Arabidopsis thaliana: one gene and its partners. The protein of the gene in region 2 interacts with the protein of the main gene of each other region in a pairwise test. Each region holds a gene or a part of one and is shown on either strand. Other genes may lie near its edges.

Region 1 (8,895 bases), on a different chromosome or scaffold from region 2:
GAGAGACAAACACACACGCACTGCACCACTTGATTATACATACAGAGATAGCAATCCCTAACTCGAAAGGACATTAAAGACAGTGTAGAAGATTGTCTTTTGAAATCAGATTGATCTCAAAACCATAGAAATGAATGCTGTTATCTTAATGAAAACTTTTGAGATTACGAGTTGTCTAATTTCTCCGATCAAAACACATAAATTCTCAGCGAATAGTCACTTTTCCCGCTTATCATCCCGTGGCCGCTTATCCATACTCTTGATCAACACAGCTTATCGCTAGCTGTTCGATGACCTTATTTATTGATAATCAAAATAACCCCTTATATCACGTGACCTATATATTAATCATTAATGATTACCAACCTCCAACTTTTTTCCTTCTGTATTAGTATGATTCATGAACAAATATTTTTAAAGGTTTTGTCTCCCAAATTTATAAGGTAAACTTTTTGGAATATTCCAGAGTTAGATAATAATAGTTTCCATTAAAGAAAGACAATTAAGTTAATTAAAAAGTTACTAATCTGTGAATTAGCCGTTGATCCGAGAGGCTCCGCCATTGGCTCCAACAGAACAAATACCGTGAATGCCCCCACTAGTGCGGTGAGAAGCACGCGCCACCTGGGTCGTTTATAATAACTGTGGATGGCATTCGTGGCCCCTACTCTCCAAAACAAACTCACAACGCTCCAAACAAACCATTGTCACTCATCCATAAACCTCTCTCTTTCTTCTCTCTCTCTCTCGTTTGGATCTGGCCGTTGATTTTCTCCCGACGGCGATAAGTTTGTTGCATGAACGCCGGTGATGGCTTCTGTTTGCGTCAACAATGTTACTGTTTCTCAGGATTTTCCTACTTACGGATGTTTCAATCCACGAGCTTCTTTCAGCCGTGACGACGGTGGTCGGAGTTCTGGATCCGTCGCATCGGAGATTCCGAAGGAGGAAACAGCAGTCGGAGCTGGTGATTTCGAGTTTAGGTTAGAGGAGGATCCAGTCGGAATGCTCCCAGCCGATGAGCTTTTCTCCGACGGTAAACTCGTGACGAAGCAGCAACAACAACAGACGACGGAGATCGGCGGGAAATGCAGGAGGATGGAAGTCGTGGAGATTGAGATCTCCGGGGGTGGCGATAATTGCTCGTTTTCTCCAAAGGCGCCACGGTGTTCAAGTAGATGGAGGGACTTGTTAGGACTCAAACGATTCTCTCAGAATAGCAGCAAATCCGCGTCGACTGCGACGACGACGACGACGAATCCGAGATCGTCAACTTCGTCGTTGAAACAGTTCTTGCATCGGAGCTCCAGGTCCTCGTCGTCCTCTTCAGATGCTTCGTTACTCATGAGTCTTCCTCTCCTCAAAGATTCCGATTCCGAATCTGTCTCTATATCCTCTTCTCGTATGTCTCTCTCCTCTTCCTCCTCTGGCCATGACCACGAAGATCTTCCAAGACTCTCTCTCGATGCAGAGAGACCTAACCAAAACCACATCATTAACCTCAACCACAATCTCACTGCGAATCCATTTGCTCCGGCTCGTAGCCTAAACCCAAATCCACCGAGAATGAGGTTAGTGAACCATTCAACATCAGGAACCGGAGGAGGAAGAGTTGGACGCAGTCCGATGCGACGTTCCGGTGGAGAAACATCAGCCATAATGAACAGAGGAGTCTCTGTAGACAGTCCAAGACTAAACTCTTCAGGTAAAATCGTGTTCCAGAATCTAGAACGAAGCTCAAGCAGTCCGAGTAGCTTCAATGGTGGAACAAGCGGGTATAGACACAGAGGAATGGAGAGATCGTATAGCTCAAACGTTAGGGTTACTCCAGTTTTGAACGTTCCCGTTTGCTCAATCAGAGGTGGTTCAGTAGTCTTTGGTCAGTTTTTCTCTTCCTCGTCATCTTCATCTTCGTCGCAGAACAATAGAACAGGGAACAACAACAATAATAGAGCGTCGTGTCACATCAGTAGAGGCCGTAACTCCACGGATCGAATCTAACCCGACTATTATAAATGAAGGAACCATCAATGGTAACAACAACACTGTATTGATTCAACAGTAGCTAGCTAGTACTCTAGTAGTAATCATTCTGTTTTTTGGTTTGTTTACAACAAATCTTATTTTTAACAGAGCTTTTTTTTTATAAGGTATTAGAATTGTCCTGGGTGTGTAAATAAAGAATCTGCCATTGGTGAAGTGTAATTCTAGGGTTCATTGACATAGATAGAGACACAAAATTGGAAATGGAGACTCCTAAATTGTGTGTTTTTGCTTGTGCTTGGGTTGAGAGAGACACATAGAGAGAGTGAGGTAGACGCGCTAAAGGGATGCGCGTGGGTCAGAACATAGGAAACAGATTCTTTTGCTCTCTATCATATGCTCTTCTTCTGCGTGTATTTGCGCTCTCCCCACGTTGAAGCTTATCTAAGCTGTCTCTTTCATGTGATTTTATTTTTAATGTATCTTTTTATTATATAGTTTATTTTGTCGTTTTCTGTGTTTCGGAAATGATGCAGTCTTCAGAGACTTTACCACACTTTTCTCTTTCTTTCTTTATTTTGAGTTTTTTTTTTTTCTTTTTTTTTGCGGTTTATTTATTCGTTGGTTGTTGTTTTGTTAATCAAGGAAGGTTCGTTTAACCATTAATGTTGGAGCTATTGGTGGTCTTCGGTTTGAATCATCACATGTTTAAGTGTCAGGATTTCACGACCTTATTATCATAATGGTACGTGAAAGGTACCAAACTGTTCAAAGACTACTATTAAGTCGTATTAAAAAATGATAGATTGGACCAGCAATAGAGATTGTACAAGTACAAGACCCCCTAAGCTTCTTTCACCTGTCTCTATCCCTCCTGTTGTACTTCTCTCTTTGGTCCCCTTTCTCCTCCACTCACTTACTTAAAATACCCTAACAGCATTTGTGGTACAGGCTTTCTAATCAAATTCCATTTTGAGAAAAAAAAAAGTGTATATAGTCTTGAAAGTAACATCTATGATACTTACTAGTCATTACTTTGCAGCTCATGATTTGTAAAAGCAGCGAATAAAAGAGCAAAAGTAAGCTAGTTTTGTGGGTTTAAGACATACTTTAGAAGAGTTCCCGAAATGGGGCTTAGGTTTTTGTGTTTGTATGGATGTACCCACTAAACGGACCAATTAGATATTTGGTCAGAGGCTCGGTCTTCCATAGTTTTAATTTACCTCTTTTCTTCTGCATCATCATTAACTATTAACACCCTTACAAGTCACACCCATCATCATCGTTCACATAAATAGAAAGTTTAATCATAATAATGAAAAAAACATGGTTCTTTATAGAAGGAAGATAGTAATTATCGATCAACTAAAGAAAGTTGTGGCCCATGTAGTCTCCTCCTTATGAAAAGCTTGTAGTCTACAGAGAGAGCACTAGGACATCTAAAAACTAAAAGCCTACGAGATCCAATTATATAGGCATTCAATCACGTGACCCAGCGCAGAAGACACGTGACTCTGTTATATACGGGCATCCTCCTATCGATTTTGTCGTAGACCCACGTGACAAGATTTTATGATTATTAGATATTAATTTTTGTAAAGCCTATTACCAACAAGGCAACAATGCAACCAAAACGAAATAAAATAAAATAAAACGACCCGACATATTCACTTGAAAATTCTGTTCTACATGATTGATTGATGGACCATGTGGTTCATCGAATTAGAGCTTGCAACGATACAAAATAACAATTACTTATCTATTATAATAAAACAATCTAAATAAAAAAATGAAACTTGGGTATTCTAAACTAGAAACGAACTGATCCAATAAAAGCCCACTTAAAAGCCCAATAACACAACAATATGAGAAAACACTTGCGCTTGTACAAAAACACTCACCTCTTTGGGTTTGCTCCCAAATCCGAAGATGAGAGTGACAGAGTAACAGAGAGTGAGTAAGTGTTTCGTCATCATGTAGTTTCCGAGGATGCTTTCTCTGTGTTACAGTGAAAACAAAGTGAGATAATAATGCACTATATATAGATGACGAAGTAGTGAGTTCACAAATTCCCAAAACTAATAAAATTTTGGATTTGGTTTTGATAAAAGCATTTATAACCTTGCGTGGTGTTGGCAGAGAGCATGTGATCGATGTTATCGATACGTCGTTGGACAGATTTAAGAACAAGATTCAGAGATGAAACTCTTTGTTTGACGCTGGAAATTCTCGATGCGTGTTGTACAATGAATGGCAATGGAGCGTTTTCCAGTAATTGATCTAGCTCTGTGTTTCCATCACATTCAAATTTTGTTGTGTGAAAAAACAAAACACTATCCAATCTAAAAATTTCACAAGAATCAATTCTTAAGCAATTTTGTTAGACCAATGGCAATATAATGGTTAAGAAACTTAATCGGATCAATTGGATTGATTTGTGCGTAATCTAATTAACAAATACGGAGACGAAGCTTGTGAATCGATTGATTTCACCAATTAAGTTAAATACGAATCTCGGGAAGAGGTTAAATTGTACCTTGGACAAGGCGATCGAGAGAACCGGAGAGTTCATCTTGGCTATTGAGCGTGTCAAGAGCTTTAGAGTCAAAGTCTTTAATGACGGACTCGAGCATCGCTGATAAGCCTCGAGCCATTGCTTCTCCGCCGCCGCCGCATTGACCATCTTCTGCGGTGGTGGATTGACATGAGCTAGTAGTTGCATCAGCAGAATCGCGGTGGTCCGAGTCTGATAGCTGCTCCATTTCCCGGCGAGGCTCTCCTAAAGTTTGTTGGTTTTTTAAGGTTTTCTTCAAGAGGAAAAAGAGCCTTGTGTGGATAATGACGCAAATAGCCCTGAGAAGTTAATGTATTTCCGATTCAGATATTTTAGGGCTTTTCTACAAATGTGTGTGTGTGTATATATGTTTAACGACGCCTTCATTTCTCCGATTCGATTCAGAGCGACAAGATGAGAGCCAAGGTCAGTTTTTTATCTACAACTTTAGCTATGCTTCTGTAGGTTTTATCAAAAATGTTGTGTGTTGATCTTTAAGTATATTGGGAATTTTGTGAATTGCTGTTTATAGAATCAGTCGAGTGAGATTGAAACCTTGGTTTAGTGTAGCACGACCTGTAGGATATTGAAATTTATTGATTAGGATTGTGATTTCTACTCATGGTTTTGCTCTTGCCGAAAGAGAATGTTGGGATTTTCATCAAAAGTTCGGTTATTGTTAAATTTGGGATTTGATATAAGAGCTCTGTTTTCTGGAAGATTTGGTATGAAATGAGATACTCTGGTTTGTAACAGTTGAGTTTTATATCTCACAATGTTGGTCTCTCCTAATATTGATCATATCATTTTATGTGTGATTTGTACTTGATGGAAGAGAATGTTGGGATTTTAATCAAGTTTTGGGTTATTGTTGAATTTACGATTTCAATTTCACTATCTTGATCTCTCCTACTATGTAAATTTTATGGTTGATCATTGCCTCTTTTTTTTTTTTTTTTGGGTGAGTAGAAGCCAATTCTGATCCATACAATATGATCCTAGTTTGGGTTTAGTGAATGGTTTTTGTTTTTCTTTTGCAGTGGAAGAAGAAGCGTATGAGGAGGCTTAAGAGGAAGAGACGAAAGATGAGACAGCGTTCTAAGTAAATTTGCCTTTGAAGACAATGCGACTCTGTTTCTTGCTTCTCTCCCTTTCTCTCTTGCAAACATTGTTCTTACTATAAGCTTCCTTTTATGTTTCAGACTTGTTTAAGATTTTAATCAAAAAGAAAGTTTCAGACTTTACTTCATCGTCTACACCTATTCGCTGCTAGAATTTACACATTGTCTCCATTTGTTTCAATCGGATCTTTAAGATGTTAGGCACAATGTGTGTGTGTTACTTGATTCTTATTGATCTCTGATCTGTTGTTCTAAACCTGAAGATTACATGAATCATCGTCTCCATAAAAATGATACAAACAGTGAAAAAATACTGTATACTAAAAGTTTTATAGAAAAGAAAAAAGCCTCATGGTGTTCGTTATCTTCGCCTCCTACCCATCAATCTAAATTGAACTGCATTACAATCCTATCTACTGCGTTCTGTCCTATAACCTTACGCAATCGTAGCTCATCAAGAACTTCTTTAGCCAGCTCCAATTCATCCTCATGAGCTATCCCTTCAACGAGTATCGCATATGTTGTCTCATTCGGCATTCTCTTCTTCTCAACCATCATCTCAAACACCTCCATTGCCAAATCTGTCCTCCTTATCTTGCACAACCCTAGGATCATGGCGTTAAAGTTATCCACTGTAGGTTTACAATTCTCACTCTCTTCCATTATCGACAAAACCTCCATGGCTCCTGTAAACATCCCTTCCAGACACAGCCCTCTGATCAAAGCCGAGTAGGTGTGCGCATCGGGATCAAACCCGCACCTAGTCATCTCGTACAAGAGCTGGAACGCTGCAAAGGTGTTACCTTTCCTGCAGAGACTCGTGATTACGCTTTTGTAGAAATCATGCGTGCAGCATTTCTGCTTGTTGCTTAAGCTCTGTATTATGTAAAACGCTTCCTGCACCTTGCTGTTATGCTCGCATAACGAACCTATTGCATTGTACGTTCCTTCGTTTGGTTTACAACGCCGGTATATCATCTCGTCTAGACATTTCACAACAAGATCAACTTTTCCTTCCTTGCACAGACGGGCGATCACCGGATTATAGCTCGTGGCAGTGACTCTAAACTGATGATTTCCTTTGCTCATCTCCTTTAAAACCTGCAGTGCCTGCTCTGTTCTTCCATGAAAAGCTAACGAATTGATCAATATGTTATAGGTAACAACTGAAGGAGCTCGATCTCCACCGTCCATCTCAGCCAAGAGCGAATTCGCTTCCTCCCACCTCCCATCACAGCACAAACACCTCAACAAAATGTTATAGCTCACAACATTTGCCTTAAACCCTTTTGCAGGTAATTCCCTAAACAGCGCCATGGCATCGTCTGTTCTCCCTTCTTTACAGAAACCAGTCAACAGCACATTATAGCTAACCAAATTGGGTTCACCGCCTTTCACAATGATCTCATCTAAGAGCTTCACAGCTTCGTCGGTTCCTCGTTCTTTATAAGCTGCTTCAAGCAAGAAAGAATAAGTGAAAGCATTTGGAGCTAAGCCTTTCTGCATCAACCTCTCAACAAACTGTAAGCTTTGATTTAAGCTACCAAGCATACAAAGACCTCGAACCAAGGCATTGTAAGTAACGGTATTAGAAGGATAACCATGATCTTCCATTTTCTCAACAAGCTGCATCGCATAACCAACGTTACCTCTTTTACAAAGCTGATTAACCAAATACGTGTAAGCAGATGCATCGGGTATAATCCCGGAGCTAACCATAAGCTCAATCACACGAATGGCTTTCTTCAATCTATTGGCTTTGCAGAGATCGTACAAGAGCTGAGTAGAATGAGCTACATTGGGTTTATGCCCTCCCGTGACTAAACTTTCTAGATGAGAGAAACTATCGCTCAAATTCGGCTCGTCGCTTCTCGGGTCATCAGAAAACGACCCGGAATCCAAATCGGGTTTCCAACTGGATCCAGTAATGGTAAAGGCGGAGTCTTTAGGGGATAATGTTATCTGGGTCGAAGCTAAAACCCTAGCAACACCTTTACTGACGGAGGAGAAATGAAGGAAACCAGAAGGGATGTGGGAAACAAAACCTACGGCTTTTCTCGGCGATGATTCCGGTGACGCCATGGATAAGACTGAGTTCAGTAGAGTCGACATGGCTTAAAATCGGACAGCAATCAGAAAAAGGAAGGAGATGAAATGAAAGTTTTGGGTTTTACGAACAACCCAGAAAAGAAAAGGATCATTATGTACTTTCCCACTCTCTGATCCTAAATCAAATTCAATCTAATTATTTTTCATTCTTGTGTTCTTCTTTAGATCCGAAAGGTTTGGTTCCTTTTTTCCTCCGCCTCTGTTATCAACGCGTCCAAACATGCGCGTGTACACCACTCTTTTAGCCGAAACGTGAATGCTCGAGCTTGTGAGAGAAGATGGTACGAAGAACAAATTGAGTAATCATTACCAAAGCATAACTCAGAATGTTTATTGGTAAAACAGAGTAAGAAAAAAAAAGGAAAGAGAATTTATCAAAAACATAAACAAGGTTTCAAAAACAAATATCGAAACGACAATGAGATCAACTAAACAAAAGACAGAAATACAAATGCCTGAAACCTCTTCATAAGTTCTGCAAAACCTAAAGACTTTTTTCTCTGTACAGAGACCAAACTTCTTCTCCACTGCTTTTACCTATAAGACACAAAACCAGTATTGTCCATTTGAAGGAAGAATCCTAACTCTCTGATGCAAATAGAAATAGTTTGAATCGATTCTCTCTACCTTTCTTCCCGCGGTATCTGCGTGATCTTTATGCCTTCATATACAGACTTCACCATACAGTTTCTTTGATTTTACTGTTTCAATCTTCATCCTATCAACTTAATACTGGCTCGGTTTTCTGGCTTCCGAGCATAGATCGTTTCAAAAACTCCATCAGTATCCTCTTTTGCTGCTCATCAATGTGTGGGAAACTTGAACGTAGAAGCTCTATTGGCATTTCGCGGACAATGGCTTTTGCAGCTTCTTCAGATATCTCAGTGGCAAAATGCGGTGGCAATTGCAAACTCTGCATGATGCTATCGTATTTGCTGATGCAGTACCTCATCAACATATTAAAGAACTCATTAAAGGAAGCGCGCCATAGAGCTATCCCTGCGTTGTTGAAATTATTAGCCCGGATAAGCTCGGAAGCTCTGTCGAGTATTGATTTCAATACTGTGGAAGCTCCGTCTCCAACAGGACTGCCTAAGGGGCGGAGCGGTGCCTGCTCAGAAGAACAAG
Region 2 (9,053 bases):
TCATCCATCCAATCACATAAAAATCAACGATTTACGAATATATATATGAAACATTGCTATATTCCACGTTTTTTTATTTACTATATATTCTACGTCAAAAGAATTATCTTGTTTTTTTTTTGAGATGATTATATCTTCTTTTTTTTGAGAAAATATTTATTGCTTTGTTCCGGATATATTAATCTCTCCCATTAACGAGATGCTCACAATCGTTTTTTGTAATGTTTCATTCTAGTGTGCACCGCATTCTAGTTTGTTTTCTTTGTTCTTTTTTTTTGTATTTATTTATTACTGTGTTATACGAGCGATTTGGACTAAGATCATGGTAAGAATAACTATTGGCAAAAAAAAAAATTACCACGATCGTTCACCAATCACGATTCACAAGGCGATATTGCCACGATTCACATTATTTGAACATACAATTTTTAATCAAACGAATTTATTAAACAGTACAAACCCACGCAATTAATTAACTTTACAACAAACCAACCCACACAATTGCCAAGATTCACATAATCAAATGCATTTATTAAACAGTTTAAAAATAACCCATAGAATTAATAAACGTTATAACAATGTCCTTGGGAGACTTTTATTCTAGTATCACTTTCCTACATCAAGTTCCAAATTCATACGTGGGTTCGAAACACGGGTTCCTTCTCTTCTTAATGGGACCTCTCCCTAATGGAACCGTCGCCGACGTGGACAACAACAACAACACATGAAACAAATAAGCCAACCTATAAATCGAACAAGTTGGATTAAAAGTATCAAAACAGGAAATACAACCCAAAATCCCACATAAATCAATAGTATATAACGAATTATTTGATCGTCGGATTGAACCAGCACGATGGCGAAGAAGAACGCCGCTGATATACAAAGAACCGCCACCACCATAAATGTTCCGAGGATAGCCATTATCATCCGGTTCCTTCATATACACAATTATATCATCATATAAGTGTCTTTTAGTTTATTCTAATACCAAACAATTTCTCTACTTATTCTGAGTGTACCAAAATTCCATTAGATAACTATGATATATGTCATCAACTTTCCATAGTTTTAAAGTCCAATCAAATAGCGATCGAATTAGTATTTTTACCAATCAGACCAGTTTTGTTGAAATAGCTAATGTTAAGTCAACCATTGTGCCGACATAGTTGGTATACTTAAAACCGAAAGTCAACACCAAGATCTCAATTTAGATGACTATTTTTAGTTCTCAGTAATATCTTGTCAAACACAAGCGTTACATAAAAATTCCAGACTTAACATACAAACAAGTTATAATAATTTACATACTAAGTAGCCTTGTTATATGGAGTTGCACATATAGTTTATTTATTGGTACCTTAGTCGTATACCGCTGATGACAAGGAGAATGAGACTCATTGAGGTAGAAAATGACACTGTACTGCTAATAATCATCCCAATATACGCTATACGCTTTGAACTCTCATATTCCAATACCGCAGTTCCCGCTCTCCCCTTACAAAACGGTGCGGTTCCGGTTTGATTTCCGAAAGAACAATTGTCACTTTGCCATACGCCACCGGGAGGATTAACCATAACTTGAAAGCTCATACCGGCTATAACCGTAGCTGTAACCATAAGATTCCCTCTAGTTTTCTCTAACCAATCGCCTTGACGTTTTAGATACTTTACGAACCACTCTGATGATGATTCTTCGTATCGATGACCTTCTTGACCGTTGATCTCCATGATTTGAAGCGATGAATGCTTTACAAAAGAGTTATAATTCTTAAAATTTATATATGTAACTTCTCTCTTTGTCGAGATTATAAAGGAAAAAAAAGAACGAGTCTTTTTAAAAAAGGAAAGGGAGATAGAAATTTCTGGTTTGATCAGCAAAAGTCTAATTTGAAACCATTTGTTTGTTGATCACGTACGGGAATTAAAAACCTACTCTTTGAGAACTATATGATTCTGATCAAGTCAGTCAACGATAGCGACATTAGGGAAGAAGCGTCGTCGTTATTTTTTATATATTTCTAACTAAATAGAGTTTTTGAGGTTTATAGGAGAATCGCAAGACCTCAAATTTGACTCTGGGAGATCATATCTCTCATTTGTGTCACTCTTCTTTCAACGTGTCTTTTCTTTCATAGTACTACATTTGTCATCTTGTCATTGTATCTAATGACTTATACGACTTGTGGTATAAAAAGATAAAGATATATAGCGGATAAAGAACAGTCGTTGCATACCATTCAACAAACCAAAATTAAGTTGAAGTTGAACATTAGTTAATTGCGGAGAAAAAAACTAGAACATTAATTAATTGCGCAACAGTGAACAGTGACATTAGTACATATAAAATCTTCAACATAATGATAAATTAAGCTACTAACAAGTAACAGAGTCATGATCTAGTGGTTGAATATTGGCAATGTTAATTAATCGATTGTATAGATTAATTTTCATCTATCTATCCACAACGCTAGCTCTTTTATGTTCAACTATTACAAAAGTTGTAAGTGGCATAAGAAAACTGTGGTCGTACATCAACATCACACACCACGATTTACTCTTTTCTTAAATTTTTTATTAGATATACATACCTGCAAATGTTACTCATATAATATTACACAAATATTTGATACGTCAGCTTAAATATGTATCTGGGTAAGGTGATCAGGTGATTATCAAAATAAAATAAAATAGTACAGCATTACTTGTTTTGTTGCTAGGTAAGTTTGACGACGAATAAAAATATATGTATCCAAGTTCACCAAATCCTACGCTAGCTAGTTGGACGACAAGACTTTATTTTGGACTCGAAAAAAAGAGAGAGAACGTGTTAAAGAACCCTAATCAAAGAATAACCGATCCGATAGTAGTCCACTGTCAAAAGTGAAAACTAGTTGTGATGATATCAGTCCAATATACACTTAACCTGAAATATCTATATTAAAAACGAACTAAGAATTTGGTGTACTTGGATCAAAATTTTACATTTGTTCCAGCATAGAAACTTGGTCTAGAAATGATGAAAAAATTAGAAGATAATAGAATCCATAGTTAAAAAAAACTTAAAAGAAGGTTATGTGGCCAAAGCTTTAAAGAAGAGTTTAGATACTTTGGAGGTAGATCAATGTAAATTGGGATCTTTGCAAACAGCGTGTGTTTGTTTTCTAAGTTTCAGGCGAACTACGTGTCGTTTTAGCTAAGAGAAAAAGCCAGGGTTTAGATTCCGTAGTCCGTAGACGTCGTTATAACGGTGTAGATCTTTCTAAACAAATTAAAAGTTTGGGGTCAAAAAAAAAAACTGTGAAGATTTCTTTATCGACTCGGACAAACAACAAGGGTCTGTTATGTAATAAATTCCCGAAACATAACCAAATTAGGGTTTAAGCATTTAGTGAGTTTCCAGTAAACCCTTCTCTGAATCGCTGCCGCTTCTTCGATAGACTAAAAGAATCCAAACCTCAGTAGCCATGGAAGGCGAAGAGAAGAATGATTATAGAAACGAGGAAGAAGATTTCAATACACCACAACAACTACAAAAGAAGCAAAGGAAAGGGAAAAAAATAGCAACGGAAACAGAGGATGAAAACGAAGAAGACAAGAGAGTTACTCTCAAAGTCACGCAAGTCGCCGAGAGACCCGATAGAATCTCTCCGATCGTCGCCTATTTCTCTACAGGATACGATCCTTGTAAAGTAGATCCAAAAACAGGCAAGAGAGTTCATGAAACTCCCAAGGTTACTGTTTACAAGCATAAGGATGATTCTAAGAAGAGGATTCAGGTTGTTGTAAGTCCTCCAGGCGCAAGAGTTGAGTTCGTCGGAACTAATTACACAGGCGAGCAAGCTGCTATGCAGACGAATACTTATAGAGTTGGTGTTTTTAATAGAGAGGCTAAAACTTTGAGGATTCTTCCTGTTGCTCACAATAAGGTTTAAATTCTGTTACCTTGTTTTGATTTTGGTGATTAATTGGTTTGAATTAGTTGGAATGTTTTGAGTGTATGGTTGTGAATAGAAAAGAAATGATTTTTGAGAGTTTGAGTTTGGTTTTGTGTTACTTGTAGATAATCAGATTGGAGCCTAGAGTTAAAGCTCAAGAAACAAATGAGGAAGAAGCTTCAGGAAGTGCTGTCGTCAAAGAACTTGAAGAACTAAAAACAGGAGAACGCGATCGTTATAATACAAAAAAAGCTGTTACTCGGGTATGTTACTACAGCATCTGAAAACACCAATTCTACTGTTTCCTACAGTATCTGTCTTATTGGTATCCAGACTAGTAGAGAACTGATTGTCGTGAGATTCGTTGGGAGGATTATATGTCTGAGTGAGAATGTGTGTCTCTATGCAGGATAAGAAGAAGCGTGCCTTATATATGGGAGATGATGCTGCGACTCAGAAGGTCCTTGATGGGAAACTAAGTGAGTTAGGTGTTAACACAGCTGCTCTTGAAGGCACCAGTTCTACTGTTGCACGCAACATTCCTCCTTACAATACCGCTGCAACGACTGCAAATGAAGCTTATCCCTTAGAAAAGATCATTGAAAAGGGGGATTGGAGTTTTCTTGAAGATATTTACTGGCTTCTGCAACAGGAAACTGAAGCAGCAACTGAGGCTTACCCTGTATTTGTCCGCAACAGATTGTACAGATTGCGAGATATCAAGGTAAAATTATGACTATTTTCTTGGATGCAAAATATTTTATGTTAGCTTGCACCACTTTCGCGGTTTGCTCTGATTAAATGGATTCTGAACTTCTCATGGTTTTATCTACTGCTCAGAAGATTCTTTATGTATGTATGTCATTTTGTTACATATGCAGGACGATATGAAAAAGCAGACGGTTTGTGGTGCTGCAACGCTTCTCACCCATCTGGTTAAGTTCAAGGACAGAAACTCAATGAATGGTTACGATTCCGCTAAAGACCACAAGATGCCAGACATCTTCCGTCAAAAATTCAACAGCATGTTCAAGGATTCTGAATCAGATAGGATACCTGTTGACAAGATCAACCTTCTGATAAGCTACGTTCTTGTGCTATCCCTTCACGTGGATAATTTCATGACCGATCCAGAAGACATAGCAAAAGATCTGAGGATAAGCACAGTTGAGCTGAGGAAACATTTTCTACAGCTTGGCTGCAAATTCCTGAAGCAGAATTCTACTACGGTTGCTACCTTACCGACCCCTCTCAATTTCCCGGAGGTTAACCGGAGGCGCAGGGCACGAAAGTGATGACGATCTAGGAGAAGATTTTGTTCTATCTTTACATATTTTCTGCTATTTTAATGATATTTCTTTGACGGTCTGTTGAGATATTATAAATTGTTTTAGTTCCTAAGACATCTGTTTCTTGGGTTTAATGATATATGATGTTTTGGCATTTAAGCAAGCAAACTGCTCTAAGTCCATGATAGTGAACTAAGTGACATTTTATTAGAAGAAAGAGATATTTATTGGAGTTGATTAATAAAATTAAGTAAATGGGTTTTATTTTGCCAACCCATGATGAACAAGCATTAAGCCAAAAAACAAGTGCACAGTGAAATTGTTGGATTCCTGATTTTATTTTGAGACAAAAATCTGTCAACTCAATGATTTAAAGAATAGCAAAACACTCAACTTTAAAGGCCATTGCCTACTGCTGATCAAATCTGGTAGAATATGTTGTGGGAAAGAAATTTGAGGTCAGAAGACTCTTATGAGTTTAGCTTTTGATGTGTGTGTGCGTCTGAATTTTAGAGCAACATAGATTCTGGGGTCTCGATGTAGCCCTTGAATGCTTTCAGCCACTCGGCTCCAATTGCACCTGCACAGGAAGATGACTTATTAGACGTTTTCGATGAGGTGATGATTAATAATGACAATAGGAATGAGAGGCGGATTCTGTACCATCTATTACGCGGTGGTCACAGCTTAGTGTTACAGACATGTATGAAGCAACGTTGTATTGGTCTGGACCAGTACCGGGAACAACTCTCTTTTCAGCTGTTTTGAGATTCAGACACCAACACTATAATAAGTTACGCGGAAGAAACTTCAACGGATAAAGTGGATGAGTATGCTAAGGACTTACCAGATCCGATTGCTAGAATGGCTGCTTGAGGTGGATTGATGACGGCACAGAACTGTTTGATGCCAAAAGGTCCCCCCAGGTTGGAGACTGTGAATGTTCCTCCCTGTCAGAAGAAACAGTTTGAGCTGATTTGCTTTCACAGCAGTATTATGCTAGTGAGATTGACCGAATTCTAAACCAACCTCATAATCTTCCGGCTTCAAGCTGTTTTCTTTTGCTTTTTGAGCCAAGAATCGAACCTCTTCTCCAATTGTAGACAGTCCTTTCTTGTCCGCGTCCTGAAATCAAGCAATTAGATGAACTGAGTTTTTCAGAAATCTCAAGTTTCTGCAGAGGAAGGTTAATAACTGTATCAAGAGCTCCCTAACCTTGACCACAGGAACGTAGAGCCCATTTTCTGTTTGTACAGCGACATTGATGTTCACATTTTTAAATCTGTACATAAAAGGAGGAAAATAAGAACCAAGAAACTAGATGATTTGCAAAGTTTTCATGAACCTCTGAAACAGAATATGTACTTACTGGCGGATGTATTCATCTGTCCATGAACTATTGCACTGAGGAACTTTTCGAAGAGCCAGTGCAGCAGCCTGCAATTTCGAAAAAGAAAAGGTTTCATAATGGAGAACAAAATGAGATTTAATTAGACTTGCAAGAAAAGAAGTAAGATGCACCTTAATAACAAGATCATTTACAGATATCCTTTTCCCACCGGAAGCCTCTTGAAATGAATTGAGTTGACTCCTAAGACTGCATATAAAAATAGCTATGTTTAGCATCCACTTACCTAATCAAAATATATGATCTAAAACTTAATACTTACCCCATCATTTTGTCAACACATGTATCCACGGTCAAGTAGTAGTGAGGAATAGTTTGCTTTGAGAATGCCAAACGTGAGGCTGTGACCTGTCAAATTTATACAATTAACAAAACTTCGGAATTCTTGGCTTATAGTACAAAACAGAGAGATATATGGTCGAGGTAATCTAGAAATACCACAAGCAATCAAGATATAAGGTTGTATAGGTATTTGCCTTTCGTATCTGAGTGTGAGGGATGTCAACATAGTCAAGAGCTGGAACCTTTGAATCCACTTGCTTGGAAGGTTTGGCAGTAGTTTCTTTACTGCCTGAAGCTGTACCATAGGAAGATGTATTAGAAATTTAGAACATAGGGATGAGGTAAATTCTGTAACGAGAGGGGAAAATGTAAGAAGAGGGAAGAGCCAAGGATTTCTGATACCTAAGAAATCTTCGACATCAGCCTTCACTATCCGTCCTTCAGGACCTGTGCCTTTAATGCTTGAGAGAGGTACCTAATGTTTTTCAAAGGAAAAGTAGGAAAAACAAATTAGAGATGGAGATCTAACACGAGCTTAACTAATATTTTTCGTCTGGAAACTGACATTATTATCTTCAGCCAACTTTCTTGCAAGAGGACTGGCAAAAATACGATCTTCTGAAGGAGCTGAGCTTGGCTTAGAGATCTTGGCTTCAGGAGCACTGGCTGGCTTCTCTACCTTCTCTTCCTTTGGTAGGGAAGGAGCTGGTTTTGCTTCAGGCGCAGCGGGACCAGTATCGGATGAGGGTGTGTAATCTTTAAACTTTTGAATATCATCTTCATCTTCAACTGTGATAGCAATCACCTAGTTGGACAAAAAAAAAAGGGACCATTTATATGTGATTCTACAAATGAAGATAAAGATCTTTGTCATTTTTATTGAATATTCATTGATCTTCAACTAAAGGGAGCATAGGGCTCACAATCAAATACTTCATGAGAACCCATTATAATTAACAAGTCTCCAAAAGTCAGAAACTCTCATACCTCCCCAACTTGAATTTCTTTTGCCCCCTCCTCCTTTACTATCTTGGCGAGAAAACCCTCTTCCATGCATTCCATTTCGACTGTTGCTTTGTCCTAAAATATTAAGATTGAGATAAGTGTTTTATTCCTGGCATAAGAATCAATACAGGAAGAGATTCAATCAGGATTATCATTACAGTTTCAACTTCACAAAGCACTTCACCAGGAGCAACTTTATCACCTTCTTTCTTCAGCCACCTGGCAATGTTACCCTGAAGTTTCAACAGATATCTTTAGTAGAATGATAAAACAATAAACCATGTTAATTTTCGTAAGAGGTATTCAGAGGTACATGCCTCAGTCATTGTTGGCGAAAGAGAAGGCATTCCAATCTCTTGATGAGGAGGAAGATCTGAAACATATTTTAAAAAGTTATCAGTAAAACAAACCATGTATGCTGCATATACACAGTGACAGAAATATGATGGCCGCAAAAGGCACAAAAACCAAGTCAGATGCTCACAAAAAAAAGTACAATTCAAGTGAAAATATATGTTAGAACAAGCGGGAAGTTACAATAAAGAACTAAATACCTGAACTGGATGAAAATCCTCTCACTGATCGCATCTGGGAGCTAAAAGCAAGAAAAGAAGCTTACAGTTAGGATAGAAGTATTCATACAGGAAGGTAGCAAGTTGTATTCTCATCGGTAAATGGATTACATACCTTATAAATTCTTTAAATAGTTTTGGTCCTGCCATTGGGCTGCTTAGTTTTGTGCTCGTTGTTGAAATACCACTAAGCATTGTTACCTATATAATGCAGCTAATGACATTACGACCAAAAAAACACAGACGATTACGTGACAAAGCAAAGACGAGAAAGGAAACTGAACAGCAGGGACTTACATTGCCAGTACCACATTTTGAAATTCTCTCTACAGAGGAATAATTCAGGCGGGCCTTGAAGATATCTGAAGACCAAATAAAAATAGAAAAATAAATGCTTAAGCGAGAAGCATAATATATACTCAAAACATACCAACTTTCAATTAATTAAAGTTGGAACGTTGTTATGTTCTTCATGTTGAAAACGATGTGAAAGTCAAACTTGGACTATTCATCCCAGAGTACTGTGTGGTGCTTGTTACCGTATCAAATAAAAGAAACC
Region 3 (7,520 bases), 3.0 Mb from region 2:
ATAAGCATGAGAGATATTCTTCGTTAATCAGTTGCTTACCAGCCTCTAAGTATGTTTTTGTATATAGTTTGTAACTCCATTGTTAATGTTCATGTAATCTTTTAGAAGATGGAGATCTTAATCTAATTAGGTAGTCATATTTTCCTGTGTTCTATTAACAAACCATTGGTAGTTGCAGACTTGCAGTTATTTTAAGACAATATCTGCCTTGCATTCTTTTCAAGTTCCCTCTCTCATTTGCACTTTTCCAATGACCTTTTTTTCTTTTACCAGGAAAAAAGGTGGCTAGGTTCGCTTCAGTTCGTTCAGCAGCTTTTCGTGCTTCTGCTGTGGCAGCTCGTGTTGCAAACCAAAAATCTGCCAACACTGACTGTTCTACACTAATCAACTGTCATTCTTCTGGGAAAGGAACCACACATAATTCTGGTCTAGAAAATAGTGTTGGGGAAGTAGGGAATCAGCAATCTCTTACCAGTTTATTTGTTGAAGAGAAAAAGGACTTAAGAACAGGAAAAAAAACAGCGAGGAAGCTTTTCGTAGAGGATTTCCCTGAAGAAAAATTTCATTCTACTGATTGCAATGTCGATCTGGGGAATTTGAGTTATATTGGCTCTCAAGAACCTGGTGAGGAATCCCAGGCCAGTGCTCTTAACTTGGTTGATAAGCTCATTAGTGAGTGCCGTCTAGAGTTTGATTTTGAAGTTCAAGCTGACTATGGAAGGAAAACAGAAGATAAATCAAAATTTGTTCAGATTTTTAAAGGTCCACAAGAATTAGCAAAGAAGGTAAGTTACAAAAGTGGAGCTGTTGGAAACAATATTTTCGACTGGGATGATAATCGTGAGGATGAAGGAGGGGGTGATATCTATCGTAGAAGAAAAGATGAATTCTTTGGCGTTGCAAGTAAAAGACGGGAATTTTCTAGCTTGCCTAGAGAACAGAAAAGAGAACTGATACCAGTTGCAGTGGATAAAAGATGGGCTCGTTCTGATTCCAAACTGTTGAAGCATAGTGTGACTAGGAGCCGAAAGAATATCCAGGGTGCTAAAAAGAATCTTGGCAAAGAGTTAGATGAAGTTCGTGAAGCGGCAGTTTTAGGGAATGATACACAAGTGGCTGCTGAAGCGATTGATGATCTGTGCTCTGGAGACCGTGGCAAATTTGATGGTGAGGCGAGTTGTCTTACAGGAAAGAAACTGTCACCAGAAGAAGAGAGAGGATTTTCTCCCGGTGGAGTCGTTACTAGACAATCCAAGGGAACTAAGAGGATTCAGGCTATGAGTAAAGATGAATTGTTGAAAAAAAGAATGAAGAAGGCTAGTCCTAGTCCTGCTAAAGCTTGCCGGACGAATATCGAAGGATCTTCAAATGGTGACCAGCTTAATAAAGAAGGTCCATGCTGCTGGAAGAGTAGGAAGGTCCAGACTGCTTCACGAGAAACTAAAAAGAATCTTGTTGACGAGTTTGATGAAGTTTCTCAGGAAAGTAATACAGAAATGTTTGATAGGCATGAAGAAGCAGAAGCAGGCCCTGATACACAAATGGCTGCTGAAGTGATGAATGCTCTGCACTCTGGGGACGGCAGGGAAATTGATCCTGAGCCAAATAATCTAATAGGTAAGAAATTGTTATTGGAAGGAGGCATTTCTAGGTGTGGAGTCGTTACCAGAAAGTCCAAGAGGATCAAGGGGATTCAGGCTGTGGACAATGATGTTGAATCATTGAAACCAAAAAACAAGAAGGCTAGATCAATTCTTGCTAAGTCTTTTGAGAAGAATATGGATAGGTATTCAAAAAATGACAAAGTTGATACGCCAGATGAAGCTGTTGCGTCAACCACAGAAAAGAGGCAAGGAGAATTATCAAACAAACATTGTATGTCTAAGTTACTTAAGCAATCACATAGAGGTGAAGCTGAGGTGTTGAATTATCCCAAGCGGAGAAGATCAGCTCGTATTTCACAAGATCAGGTTAATGAGGCTGGGAGGAGTTCAGATCCCGCGTTTGATACTCCAGCTAAGTCTAAGACGCCGTCAACAAATGTATCGCCTATATGCATGGGTGACGAGTATCATAGACTTTCTTGCAAAGATTCATTTACATCACACACTACAAGGGAATTTCGTAGCTTAACCGTACCAGTAGCGGAACCTATCTCCGAGACAAAGAGTACTAGAAAGAGAAGAGATTTGGGTAGTATATGTGTCTTGTTCAGCCAGCATCTTGATGAAGATGTGACCAAGCATCAGAAGAAGGTATAGTTGGGTTTCTAACTGTAACTTTAGTTACCTTCGATCATGTGACCTTATTCCTTGCTTTTTCTTTTACAATTGGTAGTGAATTTTCAGTTTTGCATTAACCAAGTCTTCTAGACAAAAGTAAACCTCTTAACAATCTGGCATATGATATGTTTAACAGATTTTGGCAAGGTTTGATATCTCGGAAGCTTCCTCCATGAAGGAGGCAACACACTTCATAGCTGATAACTTTACGCGCACAAGGAACATGCTAGAGGCAATCGCTTCAGGCAAGCCAGTGGTCACAACACAATGGCTTGAAAGCATCGATCAAGTAAACATATACGTTGATGAGGATATGTATATACTCAGAGATTCAAAGAAGGAGAAGGAGTTCTGTTTCAACATGGGGGTTTCTTTGGCTCGTGCACGCCAGTTTCCGCTACTACAGGTATCTAATACTCTTTTGGTTTCAATTCTTTTTTTACCTCGTTTATTCTCCCTTTTCGGCTCATTATATTTACATATTTCAGGGAAGAAGAGTTTTTATCACTCCAAATACAAAGCCTGCTTTAAACACAATCACTACTTTGGTTAAAGCAGTTCATGGACTGGTAATCATTTCTTCACCTTTTTACACTTTCATGTGCATGTTTTCAAAACTTTTTCTCCCCGAAACTGATCCATAATGAAAACAAATGCCAGCCTGTAGAAAGACTCGGAAGATCTTCCCTAAGCGAAGATAAGGTCCCAGAGAATCTTCTGGTCTTATCATGTGAAGAGGATCGCGCTATCTGTATACCCTTTCTGGAAAGAGGTGAGTTTTATAGTTTGGTCTATATAACTTCTGCTTTTGTATGTGGTAGATTTCACGGGGAAATCACAGTTTTTCTTTTCCTTCTTCTCAGGGGCCGAGGTATATAGCTCGGAGTTACTACTAAATGGGATAGTTACCCAAAGGCTTGAGTATGAGAGGTGGGTATTGTTATTAGACAATAAATTCTTATATTTGTCGAACAAAGCTTTGTCTCATCTCATTCATGGCTTCTTACTTGGGAATCTTGAACTGTGTTAGGTACCGTCTCTTCACAGACCATGTGAGAAGAACGCGGTCAACGATATGGATCAAAGACGGGAAAGGTAAGTTCCAACGTCGTAGCGGGTAAAAGAGTAAATGTGATCAAACTCCTATATGATAGTTCAGTTTTAGATTAGTTTAGAAAGTGGCTGTATATGTAACATGTTTGGCTTAACTCGTGTAACTATAATCTGTTGGGTTTTGAGTCATTATGAACAAATTGAAAAGAGGAACAACGATAGAGATTCTTTAACCTTTCTATTTCATCATTGAATGGTAGCTAAATTATTTAAAAAATCGATGGAAACACCCAAACTCAAAACCAAAGGCAAACATTCGCCTCCGCTTCCATCACCAGCAGTGAAATCTCCTCCACAGAACATTTGATTAGGTTCAAGACGGTGGAAGATTGATCCCTTGTAGTGGAGTGGCTTACCAAGCTTCCCCATCCCTTTCTCCCTGTGTACATAGGGCCCGGAAATTCTCCGCCGCTCGTGGTGTCGTGTCTGCAAAGAGCTCCATCACAATCCGACCACACTCTGCTGTCCACGCTCAAATAAAAAAAAAACTTTAGGATTAGCTTTTACTACTTGTTCAACGCCACCACGCTCCACCAGCCGGAGGAAGAACATTAACGTTTAATCCACCACCACCTCCACCAGCGGGTGGTACGAGTTCGGCAACAGGTTTAAACGTTAATTGTAAAACCAACATTAGCCGGAACGTTAATTGAACAGGTGCATTGGCTTCATTAAAGCTCAAACTTACATAGTAGGGTTTACCGGAGATTTACCGTAGATTTTTACGTATTTCTCTAATATATAATGGATTATCCTAACGATATCTAAATTATTAAATCTAATGATATCTAAGTCACAACATTACACTATTTTTTTTTTAAAAACGAACCGTTATCACAATTCACATTACAATGAGATTCAATTAAGTATTCACACTTGCATTTCACACTTGCATCTATTAAACTCGAACAGAATAATTAAGGAACGGTATTAACCGTCAATAACTCCCATCCTAAATCTAAACTGCCATTGCATCACAAAATTCAAAAACTATCCGACTCTTTTGAGTTTTTGTCATCTCTTGTCGCTTCAGACATAAACTACAGTCTGAACTTCATAAACTAATTGTCGTCGATTCAACAATGACGAAAGATAAGAAGAAAAAGGACAATGTCAGAGTAAGATCTTACTTAACATTCTCCTTTTTGTTGTTAATCCTCTGTTTTTTTTCCTCTGTTTTCAATACGTTACTTCATTTGTTTTCTCAATTTTCTTCGATATGTTGTAGTATATGGATGTCGAATTCAATGTATCGATGCATTGCAACGACTGCGAGAGAAAAATCGCTAGAGTTATTTCCAAATTCAAAGGTATAAATCAAAGTAACGTTTCCTTCAAAGGTATATACATGTTTTTTATAGTTTCTAATTTGAATGATCTATGAATTTTCATAGGAGTTGAAACGTTTGTGACGGATATGATTAACCACAAGGTTGTGGTCAGGGGAAAGATTGATCCGAACAAGTTGTTGAAGAAGCTTAAGAAGAAGACTGGCAAAAGAGTGAAGATTGTAGTTAAGGAAGAGAAAGGTGAAGAATCTAGTAAGGAGAACGAAAATGTTCTCGAGATTGATATGGAATCGATTTGTTTAGGGGATCAGTCGATGTTCGGGTTTTGTGATTGGGAGATGGAGAAATTTATGGTGTTTAGTGATGAAAACGTCAAAGCCATTTGTTCTATTTCTTAGCCTAGTTGAAACGAGATATAAGCAATACACACAAAATCATTCTTGAATGTGAATGAATTTATTCAAGATGTTATATAACTATAATATATCCTTCTTCTAAGCGGGTTCTCTCGATATAGGTTTTTTGTGGAAAGAGCACTCTCATGGAGATCCCGTTACTCCCAAAACAATGCTTCTCTAGGTGTTCCCATTAAGTTAAGTGCAGTGGCTGCAATGTGAGACGCTGTGAGGCCAGCTTCAGCTAGTTGATCCATTGGTGATCCATGTTCGATATACCTGTCAGGTAGTACCATTGGTCTCCACTTTTGTCAAAATGAAAGAACATTTTAAGACAGGTACCAAATGGTATACAAATGAATATTAAGAATGTGTAAAAAATTGTTAATGTACCTTGAGCTTTCCATCAAGAAGGCCATCAAGTGCAAGAAATTGTACCACATGCGATCCAAATCCTCCAATGGAACCTTCTTCAACCGTGATCAAAACCTCGTGTGATTTAGCTAAGCTACGAATGAGAGCAACATCTAACGGCTTACAGAATCTTGCATCCGCTACTGTTATCTTTAATCCGCGTTCGCTTAGCATAGATGCAGCCTCTAAACATCTTTGCACCGCTGATCCATAGCCCAAAAGCGCAACCCTCTCGCCGTCCCTTAGTATCCTACCTCTCCCAATCTGAAATTAAAAACACACAAAGATTAAAACTTAGAATGTTAAAGTTTTGGATTCACAATATTGTTTTTACTAAACATACCTGAAGAGGGACACCTTTGTTACCAGGAGGAAGTGAAACACCAATACCATTTCCTCTATGATATCGAAAGCAAGAAGGACGGTCATCAATAGCTGCAGCGGTTGCAACCATGTTAAAAAGCTCTGCTTCATCAGATGGAGCCATTACTATCATGTTTGGTAGACATGCCATAAACGTCACATCAAATGCTCCACAATGTGTTGGACCATCTGCTCCCATAAGTCCTGCTCTATCTATTGCAAATCTCACAGGCAGTTTCTGTAGATCAACATCATGTACAACCTACACAAACTAGTTTTAGTCTAGTTACCACATCACAATAAGCAAATAACCAAAAATATGTGACTCTATTACTTGATCATATGCCCGTTGCATGAAAGATGAGTAGATTGTACAAAAGGGCTTAAGTCCTTCGCAAGCAAGACCAGCAGCGAAGGTAACTGCATGTTGTTCTGCTATGCCGACATCGAAACACCTTGTAGGAAAGCGGCTTTCGAAGAGATTCAACATGGTTCCACCTCCCATGGCTGCATGAATGGCAACAATATCTTTGTCTGCCTCTGCTTCTGCAATCAAGGCCTCCACAAAACAGGAAGTGTAAGACTGAGTCTTGGAAATATTTTTGAACTGTTTACCTGTTTCTGGATCAAATTTTAAAACTCCTGACAAGAATGAGAAATATGGATCAATCCAAGAGTGCTTAGTATAGTCAAGAAGATATGAAAATTAATTTTACCATGATACTTGTCATCAGCTCTCTCTGCGTAAGGATATCCACGACCTTTCTCAGTCACGACATGGATAAGAACCGGTCCTATGGTTTTGGTGCTCTTTAATGTTTCAAGAATGGAGACCAGATCATCTATGTTGTGTCCATCAACTGGACCAACATAGTGAAAACCAAGTTCTTCAAACAGTGTTGAACTAGTCTCTCTAATCATTCCACAATTAGATTGCAGCCTACTAAGAGCACAGCTCAGAGCTCCAACAGGTTGAGTTGGTCCATCCAAGTTAGCAGTAGGCAAAGATACTTGTTTGTTGTCGTTGAGAATCACAATCATGTTGGAGTGTAAGTAGCCAGCATTGTTCATTGCTTCATAAGCTTGTCCAGCTGTCATAGCACCATCGCCTATAACCGAAACCACGCTGTTGTTCATCCCCTTCAAATCCCTCCCTACAGCCATCCCTGATTCACAATTTCCGCATGCATGTTAGGAAAGTGATTTTTCTTGTTTTCTTGTGACACAAGAAAATAACAAGTATGACCTAAGCCTGCAGATAGTGTGGTCGAACTGTGCCCGGTGCCAAAAGAGTCATGCTCACTCTCTCTTCGCTTGGTGTAGCCGGAGAGGCCATTGGTCTGCCTTATTGTCTTCATCTTTCCTCTTCTTCCCGTTAGAATCTTGTGAGGATAAGACTTGTCAAAAAGACAAAAACAAAACAAGTTAAAAACACTTGTACATGTAGCTAAAGGAAAACTTATGCTTGCAATGAGATAACCAACCTGATGACCAACATCCCAAAGGATCTTATCATGAGGAGTATTGAAGATGTAATGAAGGGCCACGGTGAGCTCAACAACACCAAGATTCGAACCCAAGTGTCCTCCAGTTTTCGAAACATTAAAAATAACATCAGATCTCAACTCGTCCGAAAGAACTTTGAGTTCCTACATAGCAGAACA

What was found.
Region 1: the proteins of AT3G13940 (region 2) and AT1G79070 interact in a two-hybrid assay, tested with the Arabidopsis thaliana proteins (one large-scale study listed by BioGRID).
Region 3: the proteins of AT3G13940 (region 2) and AT3G21490 interact in a two-hybrid assay, tested with the Arabidopsis thaliana proteins (one large-scale study listed by BioGRID).

The regions. Positions count from the first base shown.
Region 1 is NC_003070.9:29,741,063-29,749,957, forward strand, and holds AT1G79070 (SNARE-associated protein-like protein), read right to left. Parts: upstream 4,754-8,895; 5' UTR 4,746-4,753; coding exon 4,520-4,745; intron 4,270-4,519; coding exon 4,105-4,269; intron 3,982-4,104; coding exon 3,956-3,981; 3' UTR 3,209-3,955; downstream 1-3,208. Other genes in the region: AT1G79060 (TPRXL), read left to right, coding at 811-2,001; AT1G79080 (Pentatricopeptide repeat (PPR) superfamily protein), read right to left, coding at 6,040-7,770; AT1G79090 (topoisomerase II-associated protein), read right to left, coding at 8,489-8,895.
Region 2 is NC_003074.8:4,596,827-4,605,879, reverse strand, and holds AT3G13940 (DNA binding / DNA-directed RNA polymerase), read left to right. Parts: upstream 1-3,297; 5' UTR 3,298-3,467; coding exon 3,468-3,929; intron 3,930-4,063; coding exon 4,064-4,201; intron 4,202-4,347; coding exon 4,348-4,662; intron 4,663-4,819; coding exon 4,820-5,233; 3' UTR 5,234-5,458; downstream 5,459-9,053. Other genes in the region: AT3G13950 (ankyrin), read right to left, coding at 685-937, 1,361-1,731; AT3G13930 (Dihydrolipoamide acetyltransferase, long form protein), read right to left, coding at 5,737-5,807, 5,891-5,986, 6,075-6,177, 6,257-6,352, 6,443-6,509, 6,597-6,664, 6,749-6,824, 6,898-6,983 and 9 more.
Region 3 is NC_003074.8:7,568,588-7,576,107, forward strand, and holds AT3G21490 (Heavy metal transport/detoxification superfamily protein), read left to right. Parts: upstream 1-4,477; coding exon 4,478-4,513; intron 4,514-4,623; coding exon 4,624-4,705; intron 4,706-4,789; coding exon 4,790-5,082; downstream 5,083-7,520. Other genes in the region: AT3G21480 (BRCT domain-containing DNA repair protein), read left to right, coding at 274-2,255, 2,419-2,688, 2,771-2,851, 2,943-3,054, 3,146-3,212, 3,313-3,403; DXPS1 (1-deoxy-D-xylulose 5-phosphate synthase 1), read right to left, coding at 5,238-5,384, 5,473-5,757, 5,837-6,118, 6,191-6,498, 6,573-7,022, 7,103-7,253, 7,341-7,505. UniProt on the Arabidopsis thaliana protein: Heavy-metal-binding protein.